Rhinolophus ferrumequinum: one gene and its partners. The protein of the gene in region 1 interacts with the protein of each later gene in a pairwise test. Links are inferred from orthologs where the notes say so. Each region holds a gene or a part of one and is shown in the gene's direction. Other genes may lie near its edges. The genes, in order: RUFY1, RAB39B, UTP25 and RAB3IP.

Evidence for each region.
Region 2: the proteins of RUFY1 (region 1) and RAB39B interact in binary tests that used the Homo sapiens proteins (3 or more experiments, as listed by UniProt). The two-hybrid records come from large-scale screens. The link is inferred for Rhinolophus ferrumequinum from reciprocal best matches to the Homo sapiens genes RUFY1 and RAB39B.
Region 3: the proteins of RUFY1 (region 1) and UTP25 interact in binary tests that used the Homo sapiens proteins (3 or more experiments, as listed by UniProt). The link is inferred for Rhinolophus ferrumequinum from reciprocal best matches to the Homo sapiens genes RUFY1 and UTP25.
Region 4: the proteins of RUFY1 (region 1) and RAB3IP interact in binary tests that used the Homo sapiens proteins (3 or more experiments, as listed by UniProt). The two-hybrid records come from large-scale screens. The link is inferred for Rhinolophus ferrumequinum from reciprocal best matches to the Homo sapiens genes RUFY1 and RAB3IP.

Annotation. Positions count from the first base shown.
Region 1 is NC_046307.1:2,763,648-2,771,564, forward strand, and holds the start of RUFY1 (RUN and FYVE domain-containing protein 1), read left to right. Parts: upstream 1-4,821; 5' UTR 4,822-4,861; coding exon 4,862-5,159; intron 5,160-7,917. UniProt on the Homo sapiens protein: Activating adapter involved in cargo sorting from early/recycling endosomes. Regulates retrieval of proteins from endosomes to the trans-Golgi network through interaction with the dynein-dynactin complex.
Region 2 is NC_046284.1:5,419,420-5,426,916, forward strand, and holds the start of RAB39B (ras-related protein Rab-39B), read left to right. Parts: upstream 1-4,271; 5' UTR 4,272-4,449; coding exon 4,450-4,664; intron 4,665-7,382; coding exon 7,383-7,497. UniProt on the Homo sapiens protein: The small GTPases Rab are key regulators of intracellular membrane trafficking, from the formation of transport vesicles to their fusion with membranes.
Region 3 is NC_046305.1:21,753,815-21,761,811, reverse strand, and holds the start of UTP25 (U3 small nucleolar RNA-associated protein 25 homolog), read left to right. Parts: upstream 1-4,622; 5' UTR 4,623-4,725; coding exon 4,726-4,832; intron 4,833-5,653; coding exon 5,654-5,693; intron 5,694-6,329; coding exon 6,330-6,579; intron 6,580-7,997. UniProt on the Homo sapiens protein: Component of the ribosomal small subunit processome for the biogenesis of ribosomes, functions in pre-ribosomal RNA (pre-rRNA) processing. Essential for embryonic development in part through the regulation of p53 pathway.
Region 4 is NC_046293.1:65,678,929-65,687,197, forward strand, and holds the start of RAB3IP (rab-3A-interacting protein), read left to right. Parts: upstream 1-5,028; 5' UTR 5,029-5,228; intron 5,229-5,312; exon of another isoform or gene 5,313-5,434; intron 5,435-5,600; exon of another isoform or gene 5,601-5,799; intron 5,800-6,906; 5' UTR 6,907-6,980; intron 6,981-8,269. UniProt on the Homo sapiens protein: Guanine nucleotide exchange factor (GEF) which may activate RAB8A and RAB8B. Promotes the exchange of GDP to GTP, converting inactive GDP-bound Rab proteins into their active GTP-bound form.

The DNA of each region.
Region 1 (7,917 bases):
AAATAATTTTTGAGCTCTCAATGGACTCTGGGTGGTGAACACACAATGTGATTTATAGATGATGTAATACAGAATTGTACACCTGAAATCTATGTAACTTTACTAACAATTGTCACCACAATAAACTTTAATAAAAAAATAGTTTTTGAGGTCTCAAGAAGTTAATACTTTCCTAATGTTTAACTTTCTCTCTCTAAGTTGCATCTACTTTAAAAATAAATCCCTTTTTTGTAACGACTAATTGAATTCTCAAAACAAAGTGCCCAGATGAGGACTCGCCCAATTTCAGCTCGCAAAGGGATGCGGTACCTTGGGGCGGTCCCACTGCAGGGCGCTGTCCGGGCTTGGTGTTTAACCTAAGCTGACATGCCTCTGCTCCTTGTCCTGGTTTAGCTCCCTGTGGTGTCCTACATCACCCCTTCTCTGGCCACATCACCCCCTTAACGTGTTATCCTATCCCTGCTGGTGAGCAGCTTATTATCAAAGACGTAGAAAACACACTCGAATCTTCTCCGAGAAGTTGCACAACAGTTGCCAGTTTTACCTTCTTGGTCATTAGATGTCCACTCCATGTTCCAGTCGTCTGGTCCAGGTACAGAATATCTCCTAGTAAAATATTCTGTTGCTTCTGTAAATACAGATAGAAGAGATAACCTGATTTGTGTGGTACAATTTGTTCATAAAGAAACACTGTATAGAATAAGAAGGGGGAGGAGGAGGAGAAGGATAAGAAACAATATTTGGTCTCTGCTCCTGGTTCCTGGCACAGAGCTCCTAAAACCCGTGTACTTTTCCTGAGTAATGGGGGACATAGTTGTATCTTTCGTTATTTCTAATAAGTGCCATTCAACCATACCTGAGTTTATGCTGATGAGGTGACTCAGGGAGGATGAGGGCTGTTGTCAAAAGAATCAACCATGTAATTAGAGGGTTGGAACATTCATCCCCACCACTGGACCTCCAGGGACGTGAGAGGGGCTAGAGATTGAGTTCAACCACCCAACTTCATCAATCCTGCCCAAGTCATGGAACCTCCATAAAAAGCCTCAACAATGAGGTTCAGAGATCTTCCAGGTTGCTGAACACATCAAGGTGCTGGGAGGATGGCGTGCCCAGAGGGGCATAGCCACTCCACATCTGTCTCACACAGCTTGTCCCACATATCTCTACCAGTTAGCTGTTCCTGAGTTGTATCCTTTGCAATCAACGGTTAAAGTGCTTTCCTCAATACCGTGAGTCATGCTAGTAAATTGCCAAATCCAAGGAGGGGGTCGTGCAAATCCCCAGTTGATAGCCAGTCGGTCAAAAGTACCAGAGGCCCACACTAGTGATTGGCCTCTGCAGTCTTGTGGGGTCTGCACCCACTCTGCGCAATTAGCATCAGAAGTATAGTGAGTAAGGAGAGTTTTCCTATTAGGTGATTACGCTTTCACCTGCTAGACATTGATGGATGCCATCTCAGAAACAGCACCTGCATCTCAGTCAGTCACAGCCACCACAACAAGCTACAAGTTTTAAACTCAAAATATTCACCTGTGGGTATTTTGCCCTAGTCCCTGCAGTTACAAGGCCATTTAGAGAAGCAAGTCTTCATAAAATTAAAATATTCACTAATGAGTATGTTAGCAGTACCCCTTATAAAATCTGTTACCGCTTATAAAATTAGTCCCTCCTCAAAGCTCACTTCCTGCTGAAGCCCAAAGCACTGTCCCCAGTACGGACCCGATGGCCAGCCAGTCTCTCACCAGCTGGCAGATGTCTACAAGGCCAATCAACTGTACAGTGAAACTGTGCATCTTGCACAGGATGCAAGATTTCACGAGTAAACAAAAGTGATGCTCAGGTCCCCCTCAATTCCCACACAAAGCCCCTACACGTAGGGTCGGCAGAAAAGGAAGTCAACGCTGATGAACTTCAAAACAGAATGGTTGGAAAAAAATAATGAATTTACAACTTATATTAAAAGTAAAGAGTGAGCTCAGATAGGCTCACAGTATAGAGTAATAATACCATAAAATGGCTTGTGTTTTCCAATAAGCAATCCCATGAAAGCAGCCAGAAGAATGAATAGCATTGTGAACAGGATTAGTTTACTGCTTTTGGCCTATTCGCTTGAGTACTAGCTATGTGCAAACAGATACAACTAAAATGGAAATGGAACCACAGGGGAAAAAAAGAGATATGATAGGTCTATAAAAGATTGAAGAGAACTTGAGAAATAAGATGAAGCCTAAGTTTTGGACCCTCTTTCTGAGTCCACCATAAATCAGCTAAAATGAATGATGCTATGTCTTGATATCAGGTAATTTTTCAGAAAAATTATACAAAAGAATCAGCATTTGTTCATTTTTGTATTCATTCTAAAAACCAGCACATGGTTGCAAGCATAGTCTACATTTTATTAAATATAAGATCAAATATACTTATTTTCTTAATTTATGTTTTCATTTTTTAAAAAAAAAATGTCAAGCCTTTTTTGGTGATTTTTCACTTCATGGAACATTGGCTGCTGTTGCAAACAGATTCACTTTTTTACATATCTTTTTACTTTTTCTTATGAAAATACAGACATTCAGAAAAGTAGAGGGAATATGTAATAACTCTCGTACACTTGTTACCTAGATTTCAAAAGTGTCAAGCTCTTGCCACATTTGCATCATCTATTTTCTTTTGCTGAAGTATTTTAAAATAAATTATAGACATCATAACATATCACTACTTGATACTCTAATGCAGCTGTAAAAATAAAGGCCTTTTCCTACACACCCACAATCCATTATCATACTTAAAAAATTAATTCTGCAATATCTAATATCCACATTCAAGTTCCCCCAATTGACAAAAACCAATCTTTCCCAGCAGGTAATTCTGGTCTCTTCAGGTTGCCTCTTCATTCTATTAACTTTTGCTCCAAAAGACGCATTAGAGCTGATCATCCAGCTAGGTCTTATTTTCGGGGAAACACGGTATATCTTCTATAATGCCCCATTTACAATTCTGAAATGAAATTCATAGATAATAAACCTACCTACCAACACTCAAAATCTCAAAAAATTAGTATGTCCTAAGAGAAATAACTCCATAATATGTATTTCAATATGTAAATGAGGCACAACTACCACTAAAAGCAATGTAACTATTTGTACCTTTATATAAAATAGCCATGACTGTGACAGACAGCACTGGCATCATCTTAACATCTCCAGCATTGTTGTGGGTGACATGATGTTCTGAAACGGTTAATAACTTTTAGGTTCTGAACAAATCAATTTTGTTGCATTCTGGGAAAATTCAAAATGCATTTCTGGTAGTCATTATTCTGTTCACCAATATTCCCAGTTCTCCTATTCCACTAATAGGATTGAACTTCCCAATTCTATTGAAGTTAGAGTTGCTATGTGACTTGCTTTGGCCAATGAAATGTGTATAAGGGAATAATCACTTCAAGGCTGGGGCATTTACTATTGATGCAAAACTGCTCCAAGTGACAGAACCTCCAACAGCCCGGCATAATGACAAACTTCTGTTATGGGAAGATACTGATATTTGGGGGTTGTTACTGAAGCATAACCTAGCCTGATATAGTATTAAAACTGTTCCCCTCAAGAATAGTTTATGTTTTTATGCAAAATGGAATTAGGCTCCAGGCTCTGATCATTATAAACAAGCTTTGCACTTACATGAATGTCCAGGGGGAAGGAGAGTCCTGAAGGATCCTGGACAACTCTTTGTCATTCCAAACTACCCGACACCCCATCCGCCCCTCCACTCCTCAATCACTGTGACAACTCAAATGTCATCCCCACCAATTCCCCCACTCACTCCCCACTCCACAAAAAACAATTGGCCTTCAGGGATCAGGCAGATCATGACTAGTACACTGGGCTGGACCTACACGCCTAGAGAACCTGGGCTTCTGAAGGGCAGCCACTGCCCACTCCACTAGTTCGCCGCCATCAGCAAACATACTGAGTTGCCAAATCTTCCGATGCTTCAAGGGACAGCCAAAATCCAGCTTTTTATGCAAAACCGGTTGATTTCTAGATATCTGCAACAACCTGAAAATTTAAAATGTAAGCACTCTGGGAGTCAAACCAAACAGTTCTGCTTGTTTGATGGTGCCCACGTGCAGCACTTTGCAAAAAAAAAAAAAAAAAAAAAGTGTCAAATGCTGGTGAAATTTGAGTTTCTACTTTGTCAAATTCCCTTCTTTTCCAAGTGCCAAAACAGGCTATAAGTCGTTAAGAGTGCCTTGCCTAAGCCGCATAGTTGGGTAACAGCCATCACGATTGCTAACGTTTGCTCCGTGCTCCTTACTGCAAAATCTTACTTAAATAATGAGGTAGGTTGTTATTGTCCCCCTTTAGCCAATTAATAGCAGAATCTGGACCTTCAGATTTCCAATCCACCTCAGTGGATTTTCTGCCAAGCTGTGGCATTAGGTCCGTAATTTTTTAAAACTTCTGTTTCCTACCTCTCCAGTCCGTTTCCTTACCCGCCCTTTTGCTTGTTCTGAAGACTGCTGCAGAAAAGTGAAATAGAAAAAGCAAAATATGAAATGAAAATAAAAAAGAGGAACTCGTGTCACAAAGAAAACTAAGGCCATGTGGGCTGTGTTCTAGGCTGGGACCAAGAGTAACTTCACGGAAAAAAGTCCTCCCGACTGGTGGGAATAGGGGCGCTCCTTAGGTTATGACCGGTACTTTCCTGAACCTACTTAGAGTGGGAGGGAGGGAGGGAGGGAGGGTGGTGAAGAAGAAGACCGACGTCGCGAACAGGAAAACAGGACAGCAAGGGTGTGAGAGCGCCGGCCCGCCCGCCCCGAGCACGCGGCCCGCTCGGGCCACGTGACGCGGCCAAGATGGCCGACGGGGGAGCCAGCTGCTCGGCGGGGCGGGAGCTCGGGCCAGGGCCGGAGCAGGCGCAGGAGCCGGAGCCGGGAGAAGAGTTCGAGATCGTGGACCGGAGCCAGCTGCCGGGCCCGGGCGAGCTGCGGAGTGCAGCGAGACGGCGGGCCGCGGCGGACGGCTGGTCCGCGCCCATCCTGACCCTGGCGCGCAGGGCCACCGGCAACCTGTCGGCGAGCTGCGGGAGCGCGCTGCGTGCGGCCGCGGGACTGGGCAGCGCGGGCGGCGGCGCCGACGGCGCGGCGCCGGCAGGTAGGTCCGGCGAGCGCGTCCCGCCCGTTCTCCGCTCGGGTCAGGGGGTGGTTGGCTGTAGGAGGGCGGCAGACAAGACCCTGTTAGACTGGTCGTAAGAAGCCAGTGTGTTCACGCGCCTGGCTTCTCTTCTGATTTCTCTACACTCTGCGGCTGCGCAGAGATGAATTCGTGGCTTGGGTGGTGACTCCCACTTGTGTTCCCCAGACAACGTCGTTATATTCATTGGTGGGCCTTAAGAAAATGTACGAGTTTGAGCTCAGGTTATCTGTATGGGATTTAAAAAGCACTTAAGTAAATCCAGGACTTCTGCCGTAAATCTCAAAATGCCAGCCCAGCTCACACCTGCAGGTGTGACAGCGCATCCACTCTCCGCAAGGAGTCAAGTCACCACATTTCCCAGCCAGTAAAATGGGGAGTTTTGATTCACCCAGTGATTCCCTACAGTGCTTTCAGCCCTTGTCATTAGTGAGAAGAATGGAAACATTAAATGTGTGACTCAGTGGCCCACGGGGGGCTTGTGGCTACGTATTGCATAGTGCACTGGGGACATTTTCTTCTGCATAGGAAAGTGCTGTGGGGCAGAGCTGACTAAAGACTGGAGTGCTCTTTAAGAAGCATTAGTGTGCCTTGGAGGTTTCTTGATTCTGTCCTACCCACTGGCAACTTTTCCAGAATAGTGAATTTTGAGAATCTCAGTGGTTAAGAAAGATTAAGGAGTAAAGTTTAAAATCTGACTTCTTTTCAGATTCTGACAATGGAAAGTAGGACTAAAAGGTAATGAGGGGCTGCTCTACCCAGGAATCTGGTCCCCAATCCCTTGCCCGCTTTGTGCATGTCAGTGAGTGTTTGCACACCCACCCACTGGCAGTCAGTCCCAGAGTCAAGGCCTGGGGTCTTCTGGAGGCCTCTCAGATAGTTCATGGTAGGTAGTAAGCAAATAATGTTACCTGTTCACTGATGAATAAAATGTTCCAATGCCCAGAACAGTGCCTAGCTCAGAATAATAAATATTCGAACAAATGCCTATTTGAAAAATACTTGTTTTCCATTTATGAGCTATGAATAATAGCCAACACTTGTATTGTGCTTACTGGGTGCCAGTTATTAGTCTTAGATCTGTACATAATTCATTTAATCCTCACTGTAATCCTGCATAATAGCAGGACTGGCTTCATGGTGTGTAATCGATGCAGGCTTTGGTTAATGTGGTCCAACAGGGACAGGCACTGAGAAATGACCCATGCTTGAAATTCTTAGTAATTATATCTCTGAATTTGTGTTTTGTAAGTGAAGGAGCGAACAAAGGAGCATGTGTGGGGGTCTTGGAGTCGGACTCACGTGTGGTCCCACCTTCCACTGCCTCCGTGGGACAGGTTCTCAGCCGCCCTGGCCCACTCAGACTACCCTGGGGCACTGCTGGCCTAAGCAGGGTTGGGGTCTTGCCTTTTGAATCTTAGAGTGTCCACTGCCATGCCGCACCAGGCTGGCAGTGCCACAGCACAGTAGGCAGGCAACCGGGCCTCTCATCCTCCCCAGAGGGTGGTCCCCATCTCTGTAGGAAGGTGCAATGCCTTAGGACCCACGAAGGGGAGACTGACTTCCTCGCCTTTCCACATGGAGCCAGCCCATGTGATAGGTACCATTTTATCCCCGTTTTAGAAAGGAGGGAAACTGACTTAAAGAGTAACTTAGAAATGGCAGAGCCCATACTTGAACCAAGACACCTGCCTCTCAAGCCATGCTGTTAGTCACAACACCCCAATGCCTCGATACCTCTAAATAGTTTTATGGTAAAATGCCTTAATATATGCGTATGGATTTTTTAATTAGATTTAATATTTTAATGAAAATATTAAATAAATGCCACTCAGATCTGGCAAAAATTGTGAACATGACTGAACAAGGACTGAAATGTGGGAAACAGCTGGGAGAAGCTGTGGGCTAGTCCACGAAGGTCACCGGGATTTGGAGCCATCCAATAGGACAGGAGTGGAGGTGGCGAAAGGAGGTGGACCCGGGCACCAGGCTGGGCAGAGGCCCCCGAACAGCAGGTCAGGAGAAGACAGTGGCCCCGCTTCAGCAGGCTCATTCGTGTCTTTCCCACCAATCTGCTTCCATAAGTGATGAGGATGCAGCGTTGTCAGAGGGAGCAGTGAAGGAACAGAGGTCGAGTGTCAGCAGGCCCCATCCCAGAAAAAAATTGGGGGTAATAAAGGTTAAAGGGAAACACTGTGGAATGTTGTGGAATGCTCTGAGTATTTGTTGTACAGCATTATCCCACGTGAGGTCTGGTAGCAGCACAGCAGGCCACAGCAATTGCATTCACATAGTTGTCTTATTTGGTTTTTTATTTTTTAAATATTCTTTCTCTCTCTCTTTCTCTTTCTTTCATTTATTTATTATTGGGGAACAGTGTGTTTCTCCAGGGCCCATCAGCTCCAAGTTGTTGTGGAGGGCACAGCTCACTGGCCCTTGTGGGAATCAAACCGGCAACCCTGTTGTTCAGAGCTTGCGCTCTAAACAACTGGGCCATCCAGCCTCCCTGATTTATTTTTTTAAGATAATAAACGTGCATGGTGGGGGAAAAAAAACATCTAACCATACTAAAGAAGACTTGTATAGAGGCAGTCCTTCATTCCAGAAACTGACCTCAATCCTGTTCGATCTTTCAAAGGGTGTGTATGCTTGTAGCTATCCTTTCATCTACACAGTTTTCATGAAAACCACAGGACATACACACAAAGTTCCACATCTT
Region 2 (7,497 bases), on another chromosome or scaffold:
TGACCTGGGCCTGCACCAGAGACCCTGCCAAGAAGTTCCAGAACCAACAAACCTGGAGGTCAGCTTCAAACCACAGCAGAGCACCACCAAATTAGCCCCACAAGAGCACACATTGAGGGTGGTCTGAACAGGCACCAGAGCTCACTAGGTTGAATCCTGCTTCTTGGGATAAGCCCCCTGCACAACAGCCTGTAAGCTATGGACATGGTAATACCACACAGCTAGTCAGCCTGAGGATCAATCCCACCCAGGGACATGCCAATAAAAATCAAGGCTCAACTATAACATCAGGGCACACAAAACCTACAGAAAGGACACTCCTGGCACAGGTGACCAGAGAGACTGTGCCACTGGGCCCCAGAGAGCACCTACTGCATAAGACCACCTGGCCAAGATGGTGAGACATAGCAGATCTACCTAATACATAGAAACAAACACAGGAAGGCAGCCAAAATGAGAAAATGAAGACATCTGCCCCAAATTAAAGAACAGGAGAAAACTTCAGAAAAACTACTAAACAAAATGGAGGCAAGCAACCTACCATACACAATTCAAAACAATGGTTATAAGGAAGCTCAAGAACTTCAAGTAAGAGATAGCAAGCATAAAAAAGGACACAGAAATGATAAAAAAGAAATGAGTCAGATGTAAAGAATACAATAAATGAATGAAGAATGCACTAAAAGGAATCACCAGCAGATTACATGAAGCAAAGGATGAATTCACGCAAAGGTAGCATAAATCACCCAATCAAAACAGCAAAAAGATAAAAGAATCCAAAAAGAAATGAGGATAGTTTAAGGGAACTCTGGGACAACATCAAACGTACCAACATTCGTATTACTAGGGTACCAGAAGGGGAAGAGAGAAAGCAAAGGATTGAGAACCTATTTGAAGAAATAAAGGCTGTAAACTTTCTTAACCTGTCGAAAGAAATAGACAAGCCCAGGAAGTGCAGAGGTTCCCAAACAAGATGAACCCAAAGAGGCCCACACCAAGATACGTTATAATTAAAATGAAAAAGGTTAAAGACAAAGAGAAAATCCTAAAAGCAGCAAGAGAAAGACAACTAGTTACTTACAAGGGAGCTCCCATAAGATTTCCAGCTGATTTCTCAACAGAAACTGCAGGCAAGAAGGGATTGGCACAAAATATTCAAAGTGATGAAAAGCAATGATCTACAACTAAGACTACCCAAGAAGGCTATCATTTAAAATTGAAGGAGAGATAAAAAGCTTCCCAGACAAGGAAAAGTTAAAGGAGTTCATCACCACCAAACCAGTATACAGGAAATGTTAAAGGGACTTCTTTAAGAAGAAAAAAGGGTGGGGGAAGAACATAAAAATGAATGATAATGGCAATAACTATGTATCTATCAACAATCACTTTCAATGTAAATGGATTAAATGCTCCAATCAAAAGACATAGGGTGGCTGAAGTGATAAGAAAACAAGACCCATGCATAGGCTGACTACAATAGACTCACTTACATTGAAAGACACACGCAGAGTGAAAGTAAAGGGATGGAAAAGATATTTCATGCAAATGGAAATGACAAAAAAGCTGGGGTAGCAATTCTTTTATGACAAAATAGACTTTAAAACAAAGGCTATAATAAGAGACAAAGAGGGACATTACATAATGATAAAGGGAGCAATCCAACAAGAGGCTATAACCCTCATAAACATTTATGCACCCAACATAGAAGCACCTAAATATATAAAGCAAATATAAACCGACATAAAGGGAGAGAAAGACAGTAATACATTCATAGTAGGGGACTTTAACACCCCATTTACACCAATGGACAGATCTACCAGACATAAAATCAATAAGAAACAGCAGACTTAAATGACACACTACACCCGATGGATTTAATTGATATTTTTAGAGCATTTCACCCTAAGGCAGAAGAATATACATTCTTTTCATCTGTACATGAAACATTTTCCAAGTTAGATGACAGGTTAAGCCACAAAACAAGTCTCAATAAATTTAAGAAGATTGAAATCATATCAAGTGTCTTCTCTGGCCACAATGGTATAAAACTAGAAATCGATTACCAGAAAAAAAACTGAAAAACACACAAACACATGGAAGCTAAATAATATGCTACTAAATAATGAATGGGTCAACAATGAGATCAAGGAAGAAATCAAAAGATACCTTGACACAAATGAAAATGAAAACACATTGACTCAAAATCTATGGGACACAGTGAAAGCAGTCCGAAAAAATAAATTCATAGCAATGCAGGCCTACCTAAAGAAACAAGAAAAATCTCAAACAGCCTAACTTTACACCTAAGGAAACTGGAAAAAGAACAGAACAGCAAACAAAGCCCAACATGATTAAAACAAAGGAAATTGTAAAGATCAGAAAGGAAATAAACAAAATAGAGTCTAAAAGAACAATACAAAAGAGCAATGAAACCAAGAGCTGGTTCTTTGAAAAGATAAACAAAATTGATAAACTTTTAACCTGACTCATCAAGAAAAAAAGAGAGATGACCCATATACATAAAATCAGAAATGAAAGAATGACAACTGATATCACAGAAATACAAAAGATTATAAGAAAATATTACGAACAATTATATGCCAACAAATTAGACAACCTGGAAGACATGGATAAATTCCTGGAAACATGCAATCTTTCAAGACTGAAACAAAAAGAAACAGAAAATCTGAACTGACCAATTACCACTAATGAAATTGAATCAATAATCAAAAAACTCCCAACAAACAAAATTCAGCATCCATTTATGAGAGAAAAAAAAAAAATACTCTCAGCAAAATGGGAATAGAGGGAACACACCTAAACATAATACAGGCCACATATGACAAACCCATAGCTAAGAGTATATTCATCTAGTAAAAGCATTCTCCTTAAGATTAGAAACAAGACAAGGATGCCTAATTTTATTTAACATAGTACTGGAATTCCTAGCCAGAGCAATCAGAAAAGAAAAAGATATAAAAGTATCCAAATTGGAAAAGAAGAAGTAAAACTCTCATTATTTGCAGATGACATGATGCAGATGACGTTCTCTATATATAGAGAACCTGAAAGATTTTGCCAAAAAACTATTAGAACTATTAGTGTTTGCCTAGCGCTAGGAGGGAAGAGGGACAGAGGGATGTTGGCTAAAAGGTAGAAGCTTCTTTTTGAGGTGATGAAAATATTTTAAATTTATGGTGATGGCTGCACAACTCTATGACTTCATTGAGTTGTGCACTTTAAGTGACCGAATTGTGTGGTATGTGAATTATACATCAATAAAACTGTTTAAAAAATGAAAAAAAAATGAGTAAAACCATTATAAAAGATTACATATGAAAAGCACAAAGGATTTAAAGAGGCAATTCCCAGAGGAAATGCAAATGGCCACTGCACAAGAGCTCATTAGTAGTCAGGAAATGTAAAATAAACCAGCGACACTTTTTTATTTAACTACATCAGATTGGCAAGAAGTATGAAAGAATATAACATACGATGCTTGAAATAATGCAAAGAAATGGATTTTTCAGAAATTGCTGACTAGAATTTAAATTGGTAAATATTTTTTGCAAATTACATGTAATGCCTATATCCATTAAAGTACGCATGCTCTTTGACTTACTAAACCCTCTTGTAAGAGTCTATTCCATGGGAATAATGTATGCGTGACTATACTTAAGAAAATGTTTATTGCAGCATTGTCATGGCAAACTAAGATTAGTTGGAAACGGAAAGATGTCTATGATTCTTTGTTAATTGGAAAAAGCGAGTGCCAGAGTAATGGGTCAGTTTTTGTAAAATTAAAAAGCAATCAATGTATATGTATACATATGTTTTATTATATATGTATATGTCTATATGTGTATACACACACATACATATAGACGTAAATACATTTTCATGGAAATCCGTAGGAAGAGTATGTACCAAGCGTTATGTTAATATCTTGGGGAGGGAGGGGGCAGATAATTATGGACTTTCTTTTCTGTGTACATTTTTGTATTGTTTCCCCAGTTTTAATGAAAAAATATTACTTTTGCAATTTGAAAGATAGATAGATAACCTTTTTAATTAAGAAGAGGGGGTGGGCGGAGGAATTAGAAAGGAAGGGAAGGGGCGTTTTTTCGGCTGTTTTCCTGTGCGCTCCTTTTACAGACAGTGCGGCGGCCGCGGACGTCGCGTCTACGCGGGGGATTACAGTAGCCCGGTTGTCAGTGATGAGTCAGAGTGCGTGGTGCTGATGCTGCTGCCATTTCATCACCTCAGTGAGCGCAGCATCCATCCCTCAGCTCTCCCTGCGCCTGGGCCTACCTCGCCTCGGGCTCCCAGGCAAGCGATGCGCTCGCGGTGCATTTAGATCCGGACCGAGCCGCGCTCTCCGAGGCCTGGGCGAGACACCCCCTCTCGCCGCACACGGCCCGGGCCAAGGAGACCTGCCGACCCCCGGCCATGGAAGCCATCTGGCTGTACCAGTTCCGGCTCATTGTCATCGGGGATTCCACGGTGGGCAAGTCCTGTCTCATCCGCCGCTTCACCGAGGGCCGCTTTGCCCAGGTTTCGGACCCCACCGTGGGGGTGGATTTTTTCTCCCGTCTGGTGGAGATCGAGCCAGGAAAACGCATCAAGCTCCAGATCTGGGATACCGCGGGTCAAGAGAGGTTCAGGTGGGAGCGCAGCCCGGGCCCGCGGGCAGTGGGAGGGTCTTCGGAGCGTGCACAGCCCCTGGGGAAAGAGGACTTCCCGGTCCTGGTCGCGGCCCTTAGGGACGTTACCGAAGGTCTAGGGGTTTCTGCTTAAGCCCACCTTCAGCGACCCGCGCGTGCGGTGCAGGGAAAGAAGCGCCCTGGCAGGGAAGGCCGGTCAATAATACGTATTGCTTGCACCACAACTCCACCAACCTGCCCCTTGGTGGCTAACAAACCATCTGGAATTGATCACTGTAATTCGTCAATCTTGGTCCCTATGCTACGTACTTTTAAAAATGTTCCCAGGTCATCCCAACATAACTGAAGGATACAGACAGGTGATATGGAGACAGAAACAGAGATAGACATAGGTTCAGATACAGATATAGTATTCATATACATACGAAAGAGGTACTGGGGATTCATTCCTTCCTGCAACCAGCGCACAGTCAGTGATCACCCCACTGCATGCCAGGCATCAGGCTTCTTTCTGAGGAAACTCACACAAGGAGATGCCATGTAAACAAAACAGACACAGGCCCTTCCCTCTGAGAAGTGTGCTAGCATAGTGGGGAGAAGTAGATAATCAGCAATTACACAAAAGACTGTCTTGTTTATATTTGGGTGCTCACTCCCAACTATAACTTTTAGCATTTAATGAGTAATCAATGAACAGGTTCAATCTTCTTGTACAACCCTTTGCTTTTCATTTGTAGTATGTATCATTTGGAATTCTATGTATAATATATACAGAGGAGGGAAGGCTACCTGGCAAAGATGAGGCCTGACGAGGATGACAGGAAAAGCCCAGGGAGAGGAAACGGCATGTGTAAAGACAGAAGTGGGAGAGAGCAATGTACACAGAAAACTTTGAGGGATCAATCTGAGCTAAAGGCACATAGAGCATCAGGAGCTAGAACAAAAGGACTCAATAGCCCATGTTCAAGATGATTTATTTATCGAACAGTAATTGAGCATAGAAAATACTGATTAGGTAGTTGAAAAGGGGTAAGGAGAAGAGCTAACTCGAACTTAAGTTGTCTCCAACTCCCCACTTCCACGGACAACACCCTGGCAAATATCCTTGTACAGGTTCACTTTGAACTTATAAATGCATTTTGCATATTATAAGTGAAGTGTCTTTTATGTGTTTATTGGAATATCTCTATGAACAGCCTTTTCATATCCACTGATCATTATTATTGGGTGATATTGATTTGTAAGAGTTCTTTTTAGATTAGGAATATTAATGCTTTTCTGTCACATATGTTGTAAAATATTTTCCCAGTTTGTCGTTTGTCTTTGAACTTTAAGAAAATCTTTTTGATGTACAGAAGGTCTTAATTTTTATGTAGCCTTATGTTGTGCTTAGAAAGGTCTTCGTTACTTCCTAAATACTAATACCATAATGTATTTTAGAGTTTTGAAAGGGCTCTAGAGCTTGCTTATTGATGTTTTGAGCCAAGCTGTTCACAAAGCAAAACCTTTGTTTGATCATGTCGAATCTTCTGGTACACCTCCCATTATCCATGAATCTTCAAACATAAGGGAATTAGAAACAGCTTCCTTTCCTGGGGCTGATTTGCCAGGTTCTGGAGACTTGGAATCATTTGTAAGGTTTGCTCTTACCATCGTCTAGTTGGGACTTTAATCCCCTGGATGTTTGCTCTGTTATCATTGAGTCATTTGCCCTAAGCTATAAGCTATTGAGTCCTTCATTATTTATCTTCTTCATCCAAGAAAACAGATGAAACCTAAAAATAGACATAAATCAAAAAGCACAGTAGTCTAAAGCAAGTGATTGTAGAAGCAAATAATTCTACACCCTCTAATAAGCTCTAAAGTACCATGATGTATATTGATAATGAATCTCCTCAAATCAAGAAGTTAAAATAGATGAGGTTTCTTCTGTTTAAGAAGCACAGCAAATGTATAATAGGTTTTAGAAATATTCTAATTATAATGCTTTAACTAAATCATGTCATTTTAAGGGGAAACTTTGAAGATTTAGGCAGTTTTTTTCCAGCTGGTGGCTCCGTATTCAGCCTCTCTGAAATATGGCAGGAAGTATGGCTGAGAGGCACTTTGCCCAAGGCCTTTGCAGACCACCTATCTCTTTTTCCTATTCTTAATGGTCTGGGTGCAAAAAAAAAACAGAATTGTGTTTCTCCTCACAGAAGAGATTGAGGACCACTGTTAGATTAAAATAATAATAATAATAATAATAATAGAAAAATAGAAAGGCAAACGTGGTAATGATAGATGGGAAAAAATGGAGTGTGTTACAATATACCTATATACTTATGAGCATTTTCTCAATCATTATAAAGTCATTTTTAAAAATGTTTAGAATTTGTAATGAGCTCTCCAGATCACAGAACACGTTAACATCCATTATTTCATTTTGCCTCATGATAACTGACTTAGGTATCCCATTTCGCAGAACAAGACATCTCATTCAGTTATTCAGATGTGGGGGTGGGAGAGTTAGCTGTGCTTCTACCCGAATCGATAGGAAATGCCTGTGTCATGAGCATTCATTTGTAGAAGATGCCATCTCAAAACTTGGCCCAATTGAAAATTCACATATTATTATTATTATTATTATTATTATTATTATTATTGAGTGACATTTGTATTCGGTTGCACAGCAGTTTGGGCATGGCCTTCATTCTTGACTTCTTTCTTGTGTTTTAGGTCCATCACTCGCGCCTACTACAGGAACTCAGTAGGTGGCCTTCTCTTATTTGACATTACCAACCGCAGGTCCTTCCAGAATGTCCATGAGTGGTTAGAAGAGACCAAAGTACAC
Region 3 (7,997 bases), on another chromosome or scaffold:
CTCGATTCTTAGCATCATGCCTGGAACACAGTAACTGTTTAGTAAATGAATGAATGAACGTATTCATTTATGAATGAATGAACTGTTTAGTAAATGAATTGATGAATGAACGTATGTATGCATGCTGAGCCTTTGCCAGAAAATATGAAAAACAGGGTGTAGTTATACCAATGCTCCACTAGAGGGAGGGATATAAACCTTTACCCCCTCCAGCATAGTTTCTAGGCTTGTTCTTAATTAGATTAACATAATCTGGTAAACTATTTCAGTTTTAGGCAAGACCTAATGTAACTCAATCTCTGAGAAACCTGAGGAAACATATTTATTAAAGGTCACTATATGCCAGGCTCTGGGTTTGACAACAGGTACCTCTTGTGGGTACAGTTAAATAGAAAGGGTAGGAACTATATATAATAATATTTTACATTCCTGTGTTATGTAGAGTGCATTTAAGTACATTACAAAGCTTTTCTGTTTGCAGACATAATCTCGTTTTCTAAAATATGCTCCACCTAGATAGCTCATTGCTCCATACACAATAAATACTGTGGAATCCAATGACTACACAGCTTTCTAATTTCCTGTTGTTCTATATCCCTCATATCCTGTCTTGAACACACACACACACACACACGCTGTTCATGAAGTTAGCTGAAACAACCCATACAGCCTAAGCTCTAGACTCTAGATCAATTTTGAGGTCAATACTAATGTTCAATGCATATGACTGGCAAACGCTCAACTGCACTGGATTCTCCCTCCCCGACTAGGCCCCCGGGCCCCTAACTTTGTCCTTAGCTTCCTCAGCAACCAGCGTGTGTCAGTTCAGCATTCATCACAGTGTGTTGTGATGATCTGTGTACTTATCCATACCTGGACTGTAAACTCCTTAAAGAGGCTGGCCTGGATCTTAGCTGCCTCAGCGGCTAGCACACCTGACACACAGTGGTTAGTAAATATTTTTTTTGAATAAATAAATAAGCTCATTTCATTATAAGGATAGCAAAAGACTGATTTCTGCCAGTACTCTCAGGGAGAGGCTGGATTACTTTGGGGTGTGCACAGACACGTGTGTATGCATGTGGTGGAGGGGCTGGTCTCGTATGAAGGAAACTCTGATTTAAATCCTCTGGGGGAGGAAGATGCAGGGCACGTGTGCACGCGTGTACTCACACACTCACACATACGCACACGTGTACACACACCATCCCCTGAATCTTCCCAGATCAGTAGCTGAGCTGTCTGGACTTTCATCATTAGAGAGTCATACTTTGGATTACATACGGCTCCCTGTAAACATGTCTTGAACACATGTGCCCTTGTTACCATGTAAGTTTCAAAACTCAAACGTACCCACTATCTGATCTGTATCCTCAAGTTGGGTGCCCCCATACCGCTGAGAATCTCAGGCAGACCTACCCCCATACCACTGAGAATCTCAGGTAGACCTCTGCTTACTTTCTGTAGTTTGCATTAGAGAGCAGTTTGTTTATCTGTCTTTTCAAATACAGAGCTGTATATCAAATAATCTCTCTCAAACCATATACACCATAATGTTTGCAAGGGATTAAAACACATCAATTTGTATAACTCTGTGAGTTAATAATGACACCAAAAATAAAAGCAAAGACTTGATGAATCACCATTAGGAGATCTAGTGAATTAGCTCCTTGTGTTGAAAATTAGTAAATGAAGGGAGAGAATCAAGCATTTATTCTGCCTTTCCTATGTAAACTATACCACGGGGTAACGCAAATTTACATAAAGGAGATGTCTGTCATCATGGAAATAGTCCAGCAAGTAAGTGAAGAAGAAATGATAGAATTAGAACATCACCCCCCTATGATAGAATTATTAATAGAATGCAACATCTAATAAATTAACAAATTTAGACATTAAGCACCAATGGCTGGTAACGTCCCACAATGAAAGGCAACCAGAAATTATACTTCTGATGGGAATATAAAATACCAACTATAATGAAGTCTGATCAAAGTTCTGGATCCCACAACCTATTTGTGAGAAATATACAGAACAGCAGAACACATAAAACCAGCAAAGTGTAAAAACAAACAAACAAAAAACAACAGACCACATTTATGAGACAATCAGAATTTAAACACTGACTGGTTATATGATGGTATTAAATAATTATTATCACTTTTTGTAGGTGAAATAATGCCATTGTGACTATGTTAAAGAAAGAACCCTTATCTTTTAAAAATGCATACTAAAATATTTACAGATGAAATAGTTTAATGCCTGGGATTTGCTTCAAAAATAATGCAGAGGGGAGTCAGGAGCACTGGGTGGGCGTATATATGAAACAAGATGGCTTTGTGTTGATACTTGTTGAAACTGAGTAATGGGTACATAGGAATGCGTTATACCATTTTGGCTACTTTTGTATATACTTGAAATTTCCCAAAGGTTTTTAAAAATATTATTAACACCTTCCTGACTATTCTGATATTCTTGTCTTAAGGGACAGTCATTTCTCTCCCACCCCTTGAGATCATTATCCTGGGGAATCTCCTGGGAATTACAAACGCTCTGGGAAAAGTAACAATTGATAAACACCTCTCTAGGAAGGAGCATAAAAGATTATTTCCCGGTCTGCCTTTATCCCTGAGAATACTGAGTGCCTGAGGGTAAAGGTAAAAGAAAACCCTGGAGGAGGAAAAAGGAAGGCTGTGTGTGGGAAGGAGAAAGAGAACAAATTTTGCTTCATTACAATTTTCCCAGGGCCTTCACTAGTTCACACTTCACTAGTGTGGGTTTTACTAAGAGAATTTTCACGGGAGGTGTGGAAAAAAAAGTTCAAATTCTGGACTCTCACGTTAAAATTTCACAAAGGGTCCCCTTTTATGTTGTTAAAGGCTAATATAAATTTTTTCAGGAGAAGAGGGGACCCCTTTCCATTGCTCAGTGAGCCAATGAGGAGACCGCTTGGGAAGGGCTGGGACACATTCTTGCCTAAACCTGGGAACAGTCTAGACCTGTCCAGAAGACTATGAGGATATGGAAACCAGGAGAGAGTAAGGAGTCACTTCAAGTGCTCAAGAGTATAGCTTTTTATAGAAGATCTCTGGAAGAATACCAAGAAACTGGTTGCCTCTGGGGAGGGAAGCTGGGACATTTGGGATAGGGAGGGAGGAGAAAAAAACATCTGACTCTTTATTGTTATAGCCGGGTATTACTATAGTTAGCACCTTAAAATATATGATGACATTTTGCAAACAGCCTTTTGTTGACATAAGTGACGGTACCTTTTATTAGACAGAAGACAGAAGTCTGTTTGTTCGTGGGTTCCTTGGCTGGGCCAGCTGCTACACCACCTGCTGTTGGCATATTTCCTTGATACTCCCTCTACCTGCCCTCTCTACCCCACCCTGATATCCCAGAATCTGATTAAGAGTAGTAGATAGTCACTAGAACTGACAAGAATAGGATCCTAGCAGCTCTAGTACGACTTCTGCAGGTGTGACATGGTATTGGACAAAGCTCAGATTTTCCCAGAGAAACACACCCCTAGTAGCAGAGCCCAGCACTCTCTTTGATGGATCCTGTTTCACCTTAAAAATTCAGGTGAATTTTGAGGTCTATGAATTACCACTTTGTTTTCATAGAACATGACATTATAAGTTATTATTAGGAGAAAAGGGTCGCTGTGTTCATCCCGTGGTCTCAAGTAGCCCTGCACATTCTGCATGTTCCTGGAGTATGCGTCCAGTTTTGTTTTTTGCTTTTTCCTTCTTTGTTTACTGAGGCTATTATTTACATACATTAAAATTCACCAAGTTTAAATGCACAGTTTGATTAATTTTGGTAATTGTACACAAGGTGTTAACAACCTCCACGATCAAGATACAGAACGTATCTTCATGATCAAGATACTGCACCTTCAAGTTTTCCATCCACCTTTGCCAGAGTTTAGTTGTGAGACATGGGGTTGAGTTCTACTGCTTCTTCCAACATCTGGCTTTCTGGGTAATTTTAGGAAAGTCACTTTACCTCTCTGTGTGTGTCTGCTCTTGTAACATGAAGAATGTTTCTAGTTGTTCCAACCCTTTCAGAAAATGAGGGAGGGGTGAGAGCGGAGATCTCAGTCTTGTGTCTGAGATTCTTGATATAGCACACGCATGTGGCAGACCCTCGTGGGTAATAGCCCGTGGTCGCCTCAGACAGACTTCAGTTTCCATCTCCTCTCTTGTTAGTGTGTAACCTTTCCTAAGCGTCGGTTTCATCTGCAGTGTCAGGCTTATTAAAAAGACCTATTTGTGTAGCGTTGTGAGGATGAAGTGAGATGTGCCGGCACCTTGAATTGGTATTTTTATTATGGTATAATACGAAATCACTGCCTTCAACCATCTCCGCTATTGCATGTTTCCGCAGGCTGAATCCCACAGCCAAAACAGAATCACAAAGCACGCCCACCGTATCACCCAACCCTCGCAGCCCCCAGCCTACCCGCCAACGTCCTAGGACTCAAAGAACAAATACGTAAGCATGCGTGCATGTGTTTCCAAAGAGCTTCGCTAGGAGGCGGAAGCGAGACCAGGAAGTTCCAACACGGTCGTACAAGCGCGACGTAAAGCGGGTCTGCTTTATGGCAACTCGCTTTTGCCGTAAAGCGCTTCCGGCGAGCCCATGCGAGTGGGTTGGCGAGACAACTTCCTGGTGGGAAACGCGGCGTTTGAAATCAGACCGACTTGATTTTTCGCTATGGGCAAACGCGGGAGCCGGAGCCAGAGCCAGCTGCTCAGCACCCTGACTAAAAAGCAGAAGAAGCATCTTCGGGATTTCGGCGAGGAGCATCCCTTCTATGACAGGTATGGAGGGGCATGACTGGGGCCAGAGCTGCCGCGTCTTTTCCCAGTGGGAGCCCACGTTTCCCCGGATTTGGTCCACCGGTTTTCCATGGGATGGTAAGTAACGGGGCGCTCCCGCCTCTTCCCACGTTTCCCGGCGTCCGCTGTGCTCAGGGTCTGGCCCGGTTGGTGCTGGGGAGGATTCTGGCGGCATCCCGCCTGAGAAGGGGTTCTTCACACGTCTTCCTACCTTTTGTTGAGCCTGTCACTTTATGCTAGACCACACGCCCGCCGTGTGTGGGCTGGATTGTATGGTCATAGATTTTCTAGATTGTTTTTTGGTGTGTGTGTTTTTAAAGAATTGTTTGAGGGGGCCTCCGACACCACTGATCTGTCCAAGTACAATGAGGAAACTGCTGCATTGGTAGTTGTACGTTTCCAGCCTCTCAGTGACGATCTTGGTGCTCACACCACCACTTTGGGCCGTTTTATCAGTACATTAGAGGGATAGTCTAATTAAGAAATTTGCTAGAAAAGGTGAACCCGAGGTCTTTTATTTGCCAAATTTAGCCATCTTTTGGATGAGAGCCAGTTGTTGGGTGACTCATGTATTTGTCATGTGACCTCGTGAAACTTTTCATTTGTAAGTTATTATAAACTTGTTCTACTCTTACAATCCTTGTCCCAGTGCGTGTGTAGTTTTTACATGACTATAGTTATGTCAACTGTAGTTATAATGTGTTTATAATGGTATATTCTGCGTTTTTCATTTACAGTTGTATCATTAGGCTTTTTGCTAATTGCTACATACTTGTAGTTTAACATTACCTGTTTCTTTTCAGGGTTTCCAGAAAGGAAACAAAACCACAGATTTGTCAACTGGTAAAGCTTTATTCCTTCTTTATAATAGTTGGTTTTGGATTGTTACTTTTAAGATTATATGTAATAATAAAGTTTGGCTGTATTTCCACTCTTTTTGATTTTAGATGTAAGCTGTTATTTTAGTAATGCTGCTTCATTTTGAATGCAGATGTCTTACAATGCTGTTGTGATAATTACAGCAGTAACTGGATTTTGAAACTGCCCCAAGAGATCAATCTATTAGAACCTGTTCAAGAGGCTTACCAGCCTACAGTACTTTGTTGTATTGTAATTTTCCTGTTGCTCCTTTAAATGGGCCAAGTGCCTGACACATAGATTAGGTCTCCTTATAGCCTAAAGCTCTATGTCAGCTTTCTTCCCATGGGGAACATTAGCAGTTCAGAAATGAAGAGCTTCTAGGGTCTTAGCTAGATGAGCTATTTTAAATAAATTTGGTGCTGGGCTTGGCCAAATAGATAGGATTGTGTGTTTGCAGAAGAGCTAATTTTTTAGTATATGTGCTGCTGAAGCGAGCACTGAAGAGCTAATTTTTATATAGGAAAGTCTGAACCTGTTACACGATTGGCCTGATAATAGTTATAGGGTAGCAATGAGAGCAATATCATTTGGTTTTTAAAATCCCCGTTATCCTTTTAGTCAGAGAGTTCAGATACTTCAAGTTCTGAAAGTGAAGCAGAGAGTGAACCAGAACAAGTTTCTGGGTACCACAAACTACTGGCCACATTAAAGACTGTTTCCGAGGAAGAGGAGGAAGAAGAGGAGGAGGAGGAGGAGGAAGAAGAAGAAGACAGTATTGTAGATGAAGCAGAAATGAACGATGAAGATGGTGACAGTGATGTCAGTGTGGAGGAAGAAACAGCGGCAGAGTCCACTGAACCGCGGGAGAGTAAGTATCTTTGGTGTGGGTTCATCCTCTGTGCCAGGACCATTGACAGATTGCCCCATGGGCACACTGCCCTGTACTGTGAGTTGGGTGACAGCACGTGGAGCCAAAGAGAGATTCTTAACCTTGTTGGCTTCAGTGATGTCTTTGAGAATCTGATGAAAACATAGAACCTTCTCACCAGAAAAACATTTTTGCTTAGGATTTCCAGGACTTTCATCAATCCTAGTTAAAGTTTCCCTGATTCAGAGGAACGAAACCATAATTGTTTTTGTGATGGTCTCAGTTTATTAGAGAGACTTCTGTTCATCCCTTAAGAGAAACCAAGTTTAATGGAAAGTAGACACAAATATACAAAAATTGTCAAGTAGCAGATTTTTATGGAACAGCTAGATAAACAATCTTGAAGAGATGCCAAGTGGTCACATGCCACCGAGGGAAAGCTTCAGAGAAGAGCTGGGATTGAAAACATAAAGGAACTTTCTCACTCAGATTTCTAGGTGACTTTTGTCTTTAACTTTAAAATCACCATTATTGAGGTGTGATTTACATACAATAAAGTGTACCATTTAAAGTATATAACTCAATGATTTTTGACAAATGTATATGTCTGTATTATTACTGTCACAATCAAGATACAGAACATCTCTAATGCCTCCAGAAAGTTCCTTCTTGTCCTTTTACAGCCAATTTCCTACCCCTAACATTGGACAACCACTGACCTGCTTTCTTTCACTATACATTAGTTTTGCCTGTTCTAGAAATTTATAAAATTGGAAGCATACAGTACGTACCCTTTTGCATCTGGCTTCTTTGACTCCTCATGATTCAGCCATGTTGTTTATGTATTATGAATTCATTACATTTTATTGCTGGAGTAGCATTTCATTGTCTGAATATATCTAGGTGACTATATCTCACTGTCTTAATGCCTATTTTCTTTACTGCATATTTTTTTCTATACTTGAAGGTGTCACACACCATTCCTAGTATTTTATTAGTTTTACTAGGATAAAAATTCATTGCCTCAGACTTAGGGATATTTTTGTTTTGTTTTTTCAAAATGAAGGTTGCTTTTTTTTTAAAATTATAAAACTAACACGTGTTTACTGTAGAAATTTAAGAAGGTAATATAGTTAATCTATTTCCCCACCACTTAGAGATAAACACTAACATTTTATATAACCTTCCAGACTGCTTTTTTTATAGATACATGGGCCAGTGCAAGTATGTATATATATTTGTGTGTATGTGAATAATGGCCTCATACGTTTCTGTTACTTTTTGCTTTAATAATACACCATGGACATTTTTCCATGTGTTTAACTGTTTTAACATTTCTTAATTACGTAGTATTTCATTGTAAGTGATACTTTGTAATTTAATTACCATTGATAGAAAATGATGAAATCATTTTTCCC
Region 4 (8,269 bases), on another chromosome or scaffold:
GAGGTGAGATGACTAGAGGTTTCCTCCAGCTCTAATATTTTATGACTCTGTAATTACATTTAGAGCTTTCATAGCATAACTGTGATCATTCCCAGTTATACCAAATATCCTCTCTTTGAATGCAGAGTTGGTTTTTTTGGAACAGATAAAATTTATCAGAGTCAAGTCTATTAATACTATGTATGAGAAAGGTAGACTACACTGTTTTTAAAGCTTGGAATTATCATCGATGCTTTCTTTGCCTTTTTTTCTGTATATTGAGTTGCAAGTGGCCAAAAACCCAACAGAGACTGGCTTAAGCAAAGAGAAAATTACTGTCTCATACAACTAAAAAGTTCAGGTGCTTCAGCTTCAGTCACAACTTGATCCAGGACGTCAAATAACGTGATCAGGACTCACACTGGGTCTTTTTACCTCTCAGATCTGCCTACTCCCTGTCAGTCCCATTCTCAGCCATGTTCTCCATTGCCAGCTACTGTCATTGCCTGCTTGAGTCATTTGCTTATTATGAACTAATCCCAGAGACCAGAGACCAAGATTCTTGAATTGGGTATGCGTGGGTCACATGCTCACCTTGAAGTGGGGGGGGGGGAATTCAGTTCCATTTGAATCATGTGAACCGAACATGGTGAAAGTGTACTTCCCCAAATAAAGTCATTGTGCTGATCCCCAAAAGGATAACGATGCTGAATATGAAAGAGAGGGAGCGAGGGAGGATCTAATTACTTGTTGCGTCAGACAAATTCATCCTCTGAAATGTTTTTCCTTGCCTGTTTTCATTGCAATATAAGCACTCACTATCTCATAGTAGCTTCCTATCTAATTTCTTTACCTCTAGTCATTCCTCACTCAAGTACGTTGTCGGCATTGCCACCACGTTCCTCTTCCTAAAGCACTGTTTTGATCATTTCACTCTCCAGCTCAAAGTCTTACAGGAACGCTCTTCTGACCACCACATGGCATTTATGAAATACAATCTGGCTCCCATGGACATTTATGAGCTACAATCTGGCTCCCATGTATCTTTCTAGGCTTATCTACCTGCAGTTGTTCCATGTGCTAACTAATCTGCATTGCTCACCATCCCTGAACACACTGCATGTTTTCCTTACAACGTCTTTGCTCTATTTGTATGTTCTACCCCATCACTGTTTCTTTGACCCTAAGTCTGATCTCTGATGATGAGCCAGACTGCTAGTTTTCTCCAGTATTTGTCCTCCCATTCTTCTTTAGTATTAGAACCACTGATTTTTAGCTGGGCACATGGCCACTTAAAAGAGACTACATGTTTGAACATCACTTAGTCAAGTTCTGACCAATAGGTGTAAGTGTGGTGATGTATACAACTTCTCCACATGTTCTTAAGTAAAGGCGCGTGCTCTTTTCTTCCCCTATCTCCTTTCTATGTTCTGGAAATAAGGATGTGATAGCTGGAGCTTGAGCAGCCATCATGGACCATAAGGCAGGAGCTGCATGTTCAAGATGGTGAAGATACAAGAGAGAAGACGGCTGTGTCCACGTTGATCAGAGAGCCACCACATCAACCCTGGACTTCCTACATTTGCAGGAGAGGAATAAATTTTATTTTGCTTAAGTTACTGTTATTTTGAGTTTTTAACTGCTATGGAAACCAATCTCTCCATGAAAAGATTATAAATATACAACATTGTATATATACATGTAAATATACAACATTTTCTGAACTTTGAAAATAGAACAGAGGCAAACAAGCAATAAAAATTATAACTAAGGGTAACAACCTTACAATGATTTGTTCAATTTTAAATTTCTAGATATCTGCACTCATCTCCTTTGTTTTCTGGTCCCAGGTATGGATGGGAAAGTCTTAAGATTTAAAAAAATATATAATATTATTTTATATGTTGTATTTTCCATTCAAAATCTAAGCAAAATGGGGGCATTATTTTAAGGATACAAGGATTTCTCACAGAACACATGGGAAATGATGAATGAGGGAAGTCTCAGAAATAGACTGGAACCCGGGACTGAAACACTGTGGGGAGCCAGGAAGCCCTCTCATTAAGTCTCACCTCTCCTTCTCTTTCCTCTTCCTGCAGATTATTTATGTACCTGGCAGAGAGAAGCAATCAATAAATATGTGTTTAATGGATGGCAAATTGTGTGTGTCTGTGAAATAAACGGGATCCAAAGCCCATTCTCAAAACATTTCCTTATACGTATGTAGCTTGTTAAAGTGACTCTTTTGAAGGAAACCATACTTTTTAGAGTCTAAGCTCCTTTCTCTCAGCCCTCAGATCTTTTCAGTCGTTCATTCCAACATTAGAAAAATGGCCTGAAATGCAGAGTTGTATATAAGTGACCTAATGAAAGATACTTTAGAGACAGTTCTGTTTTTGTACAGGAGTCGCGAAGGCAAATTTTTATGGGAATGTGAGCAGTGAGCACTGACACACAAGTAACTATTTTGCTAGACAAGGAAATGATAGATTGCCCTTGGTACTTTTTTCCCAGTAACCACACCCCCTTTTTTTTCCTCTTTATTATTTACTGTCTGAGTTCCTGCTTTTACCTAGTTTTGCCCTTGAGGGTTCTTGTCAGCTGATTGATATGTTTGATAAGATGTTTCATATATTTTATTTAGCACTTTTAGTTGTTTTTGGTGGGAGAATCAACCAGTATCTAGTCTGCCATACTGCTGGACATGAAATCCAGTATGCTTTTTTTTTAAAAAAAGAGTTTTAACTTCATTTGTTTGTAATATATTACCCTGCATTCTGCAGACCAGAGCCCTGACTCTGGTGATCCAAGTTCTCCATCTGTAACAATGAAGAATAACTACCTTTATACCTATGTCAAATTATTTTTTTGTAAAGGACTCATGACATACTTTATGTGAAGTCTGGAAAGTACCATGTAAATATAATTACTGGAAAGTACCATGTAAATATACAACATTTTCTGAATTTTGAAAATAAAACAGAGGCAAACAAGCAATAAAAATTATAACTAAGGGTAACAACCTTACAATGATTTGTTCAATTTTAAATTTCTAGATATCTGCACTCGTCTCCTTTGTTTTCTGGTCCCAGGTATGGATGGGAAAGTCTTAAGATTTAAAAAAATATATAATATTATTTTATATGTTGTATTTGACATTAGTTGTATACTGTCATTTATTTTTCAACGAAAGAGAAAGGAGGCAAACTTGAGCACACTACAAAATCACACTACAAAATATAGTGTGATTTTCAGCACACTAAAAATCATGTTTTTAAAGTGGTGAAGTATCTATCTCTTTAACTTATGGTTGGGCAATCTAACTTAGGATGCTCACAACACATTATATATTTTGCAGGCTGAGATTCTGAGTATCTAACACTCTGTAATGTACTTTGGTTTCTGTGCTGCAAGGACACTAAAGTATTATTGTAGGTAACTACCCATATCACTCTCTGCATTCTCAAACTATGATGGCAGATTAAGTATGTGAGAGAAAACACCTGTAAGTACTCATAGATTCCAAATAGCCTCATGGATAGTGGGTGATTTGTAAATAAACCAACATCGGATTTAGACCTATGGCTATCGCTTACTATTTCCTACAGATGAACGATGTCTAAGGTCCTATGTAGAATATATTATAGGACTGGTCCTGTAAACACTTCTATACCAAGAGAGTACATCTCCATGTATGTCATTCACCCATTCTGCATTTATTGAGCCAGCCCTACTACATGTCAGGCCTTGTGCCTGTTCTCAAGAAGCTCACAGTAATTGACATACGTGTATTTGTCTCCCTCACTATGTTTGAGTCTGTGGTCGAGATTATGTGTAATGGTTTCTATGTCCCTTTGTCCAGCAGTAGGCACATAGATGGAGCACAATAAATGTCTGATGAATGAATGGCATTCATTCATGACATGACATGAACGACATGGTATAAGGAAGAGTAGTTAGGAGTCTATTAATGAGGAAGGTCATATTTAGCAGCAGTGAATATGAGGTAGGATAGATTTAAGAATTATTTGGGAATTTGAATGGATAGGACTTGATATATGGGAAATGTGGTATAAATGAGTAAATAACGACTTTCTAGGTTTCTGTTTGGATTATAGGTGGATGATAAGAGTAATAATGTTATTAATAATACAGCTAATATTCGTCAGGCACTCTGTGTCATGCGGTACACTAAGTGTTTACATTATTTAACCATTTAATCTCTCAACGACTCAGTGAGGTAAGTACTCTTACCATCTTCCTTTACTGTTCAGAAAATTGGGGCTATTTAAAGATTAACTTGCCCAAGGTCACACAGCTAGTAGGTGGCAAATTCAAACCCAGGAATTCTGATTCCTATAGCCATACACATAACCTACTCTCTTATTCACTGCCTCGAATAGATGTACTCAATATACAGAATGATGATCCTATTCCATGTGTGTATTACATAAGTTGCACGTATCCATTTTAGTTAGACAGAGACACACGCGGTGATTGCTCTTTTTGATCAGATTTTAGGGGCTTGGTTGTGTACTTTCACTTTTCCTACCTGGAGTTCCTAAAGAAGTGTGGAAGTTTGATAGAGTTGACACAAAAGATGAGAGAAGGCAGGTACAGAAACGACATTCTCGAATGCTCTAGCAGCAGCTGGGATGACGGGATCTGGGTTCTATCGGACTCTCCACTCCCCACCCCCAACACCCCCGACACACACCCACACGCGCACGTTATAAGGTCTATATGGACACCAAGTTTCTCAGGTTGGTTCTAGCAGTTGTTAACTAACATCGAAGGTTCTTTTTCCGTCTCCGGCCGAGCCTAGCACACTCGAAGTTAACCCAAGACCTCCTATGGGGCCCAGGGAAACAAGGCTGTGCGCCGACTCGGGCTCGTTCCCCGGGAAACCGCCCTCAGCAACACCTGAGGCCCAAACCCCGGTACCTGGGAAAAGCACCTCTAGGCGCCAGGGGGCGCGGGAGCGCGCAGGCCCCTCGGGCCCCACGAGGCACCGCCCCAGCCCCGCCCCCAGCCGGCCTCCCCACGGCGGGGCCGGGCCGCTTCAGGCCCCGCTCACGGCGCAGGCGCAGTCCCACGCTCCCTCGGCGGCTCCCGGCGCAGTGCGCCCGCCGCGGCGAAGTGTAGCGGCGTCGGCCGGCGGTCGTCCGCCTCTCGCTGCTTGGGGGCGCGCTCTGTGGGGTTCTGTGAGCGCCCCTGAGCGCGGGCAGCGGCCGTCGTGGGTTCGTCAGGTGAGTGCGGCCGCGGGACGGAGAGGCCCGCGGCGCGGAGCACCGCCCCCCCTTGGCGCCCGCCTCACGCGAGCCGGCCTGGGGGGCGGCCGTGGCAGGTGCAGCTGCGGGCGCGGCGGAGGGTGCGGTGCACGGAGATCCGACCCGGATGCCTGGCCCGGCCAGCGCGCGCCCTCGCCTCGGCACGCGCGGGCTCCGGGACCCCAGTAAGCGGCGGCGGAGGCGCGGGGCTCTGGGCATCTGGGCACCCCCAGGGACCGCCGGTGGACGTCGGGCGGCGGCGGCTCCTCCCCCGCTCCCCGGGCACGGGCGCGTTACTCATTAACTGCGCGGTCCCGAGCACCCACGGCTGGGAGCCCGGAGCTGGGTTACCTGTAGGCGGGGCGCGCGCGGCTGAGGGCACGGGGTCGCGGAGGGGAGTCGAAAGAGAGTTCCCGAGTAAGTCTGGAGCTCGGTTCAGCGCAGGAGCCGGATCGTGGTGAAGCTGTAGGCGTGGACCAGGGGTCTCAGTGAAAGACGTGTGAGGCACCATCTCGAGGCGCAGAGGTCACTCTCGGGAGGTTTCGGTGAAACCTGGTGGGCAAGAACAAGCGCCCTGGAGTCGTGCCGTAGGAGGCAGCCCAGTTCAGCCTGACTTTTGTTTCGGGGAGTTGAGACGAGCTGCACAGACAGACATTATTGTGATTACATTGCTCTTCCAGCGATGACATCTCGCTCCGACCGCCGGGGGAAAAGCGAGCTTAATGGATTCTGGAAGTGATGGTGTTTGGTGGGACCTACAGCGCGAGAAGAGTAGCCAGTGGTTAAGGGATTAAAAAAAACAATCTGTAAATGGCTAAAGGGTAAATTGAGAGCGCTGAGTTAATACCGATTCCTAAGAGGCAAACAATTTAGTTTCGAGGAAATACAACATATTCCAAAGGCTACCTGTTTCACACTCTTGTGTTTCTCTCTCCAGCTCCTTCATTTTAGTGTAGGGAAAGATCCGTGTAATCTTTTGCCATGGAATGATTACATAATTGGAGCAGAGGCCGATAAGAGGATTAAAGCAAAACTGTTCCATTGTAAATCTATTGAAAGACCCAGTTTCTGTTCATTATCCTCACCCTCATTTTTTGTTCATGCAGTTAAAAAAACAAAACGTGAATGACAAATCAAGGAGAAGAGGCAGAATACATTTGTAGACCTATCATAGTGAATATCTGATGCTGTTAAATATTCCACCAGTTTTATGGGGCCTTGTTCTGTTAACATTTGTTATTTATTTACTAGTACTGTGCATTTTGATAGGACTTTTCATTTTTGGGTGGACGTTGTATCCCAAATATGGATTAAGTGATCTAATCCTGAAGCCCTTGTGGAATGTATAGAAAAAACTTAGCAGTTATGTACAATTTTACTACAATGGTGTATTTCTTGCTGTTAGAAGAAAAGCCTTTTAATTTTTTTCTTTTTCCACTACCTTAGTGCATACCTTTTTGAATCAGAGTGGATACATTTGTTTTTTTTTAGGTTACTTAATCTATTTCTCCTTCTAATTTTTTTTTTTTTTTTAAAGGAGGACGCAACCCATGCGCGGCTCAAACTGGCAACCTTGGGTTATTAGCGCCAACTGAGCTAACCGGCCACCCCCAAAAGTGGATACATTTAATACAGCTCTTTTTTATGTGTTTGGCAGTCAACCCACTCCGTGGTATTGAATACCTCTAACCTCTCATCTGGATGGATATTTGATGTTCAGCTGCTTGTGGGGTTTGTAATCAGCCAGGTTTCTAATTAGATACAATTGTACTTTTTGAATTAGTGTCCTTATGTATCTTCTTCCTTTAATATTTTTCCTCTATTTTTCCCTAAACCCTCAACCACCCCAACACACATACAGACACTCCACAAATAACTTTTAAAGTTGAAAGATTCTTAGAAATCTAGCTCCCCATCATTTTTTTTTAATATGGCAGAACAAAAGCTTGTAGGTTACAGTAGTTTTACATACATTATTGTGGTTATAGTATTCACCTCCTTTCCTCTCATCCTGAGCAGGACTCATTGAATCAATTAGCTGGCCAAATGAAAAATTATTAAATCTTAAAACAATTCTTTTTGTAAGTTTTAGCTCCCTTTACTTACTGTGCATGTGACCTTGAGTAAATCACTTCACCTCCCTGAGTTTATTTTCTCCATTTGTGAATTGATACAGTATTAGATGGAACCATATGAATTTGCTAGTCGTCACCTGTTTTTCATATGGTTCAACCTAATATTAAGTTTTTAATGGATGAAATTTAGGGAGATACTCCACATGGGATGTGAGGAGGTGGGGCAAGGGAGACATATAAACTTGACAGTGGGCCAGGCCCAGTGCTCTTGCTTTAGGTCCCTGTCTCCTTTAGTCCTGGGGACATTCCTGGGATATAGGTGGGATTGCGTTTTACAGTTTAGGAAGTTGAGGCTCAGAGAGGTGAAATAACTTGCCTATGGTTACTTATTTGCCAATGGTGATATAGCTGATTAATGGCAGAGCCAGGTTTAAAAACTGAGTGTGACTGCCCAAAATGGAACTCTTAATGTGCTTGCTTCTTCCATTCCTGGTCTACACACCTTCTGAAAGGTGTTCTTATCATTTGTATTTCTGGCTTAAAAAATATTCCAGTTTTCTGATGATGGTGATATACTGGCACCATTGGGTAGAGTTTCCCATGTATCAGGTTCTGGTCTAAGCACTATAGAAATTTCCTCTCACAGTGACCTAGGAGTTAGGTAATCCCTAATTCCATCCCTTTTTATAGTTGAGAGAGGTAGCGTGCCCAAGATCACACAGCTAAATGAAGTTACAGGACTAGATTAGTCAGGCAGTTTGTTTTAATGTCCATGCTCCTAGCCATTGCGCTCTCCTACTTCCACGTGTGTAGGTTGTAATGCTGAAGAATTGTTTTTAATTTAGCTCTCATGAGATACTTAACGTAATAAATAATTCTTCATGTGTCACCAGAGATTTTTTTAAATCAGATATTCATTGAATATCTGCTCTGCAAGTCACAGTG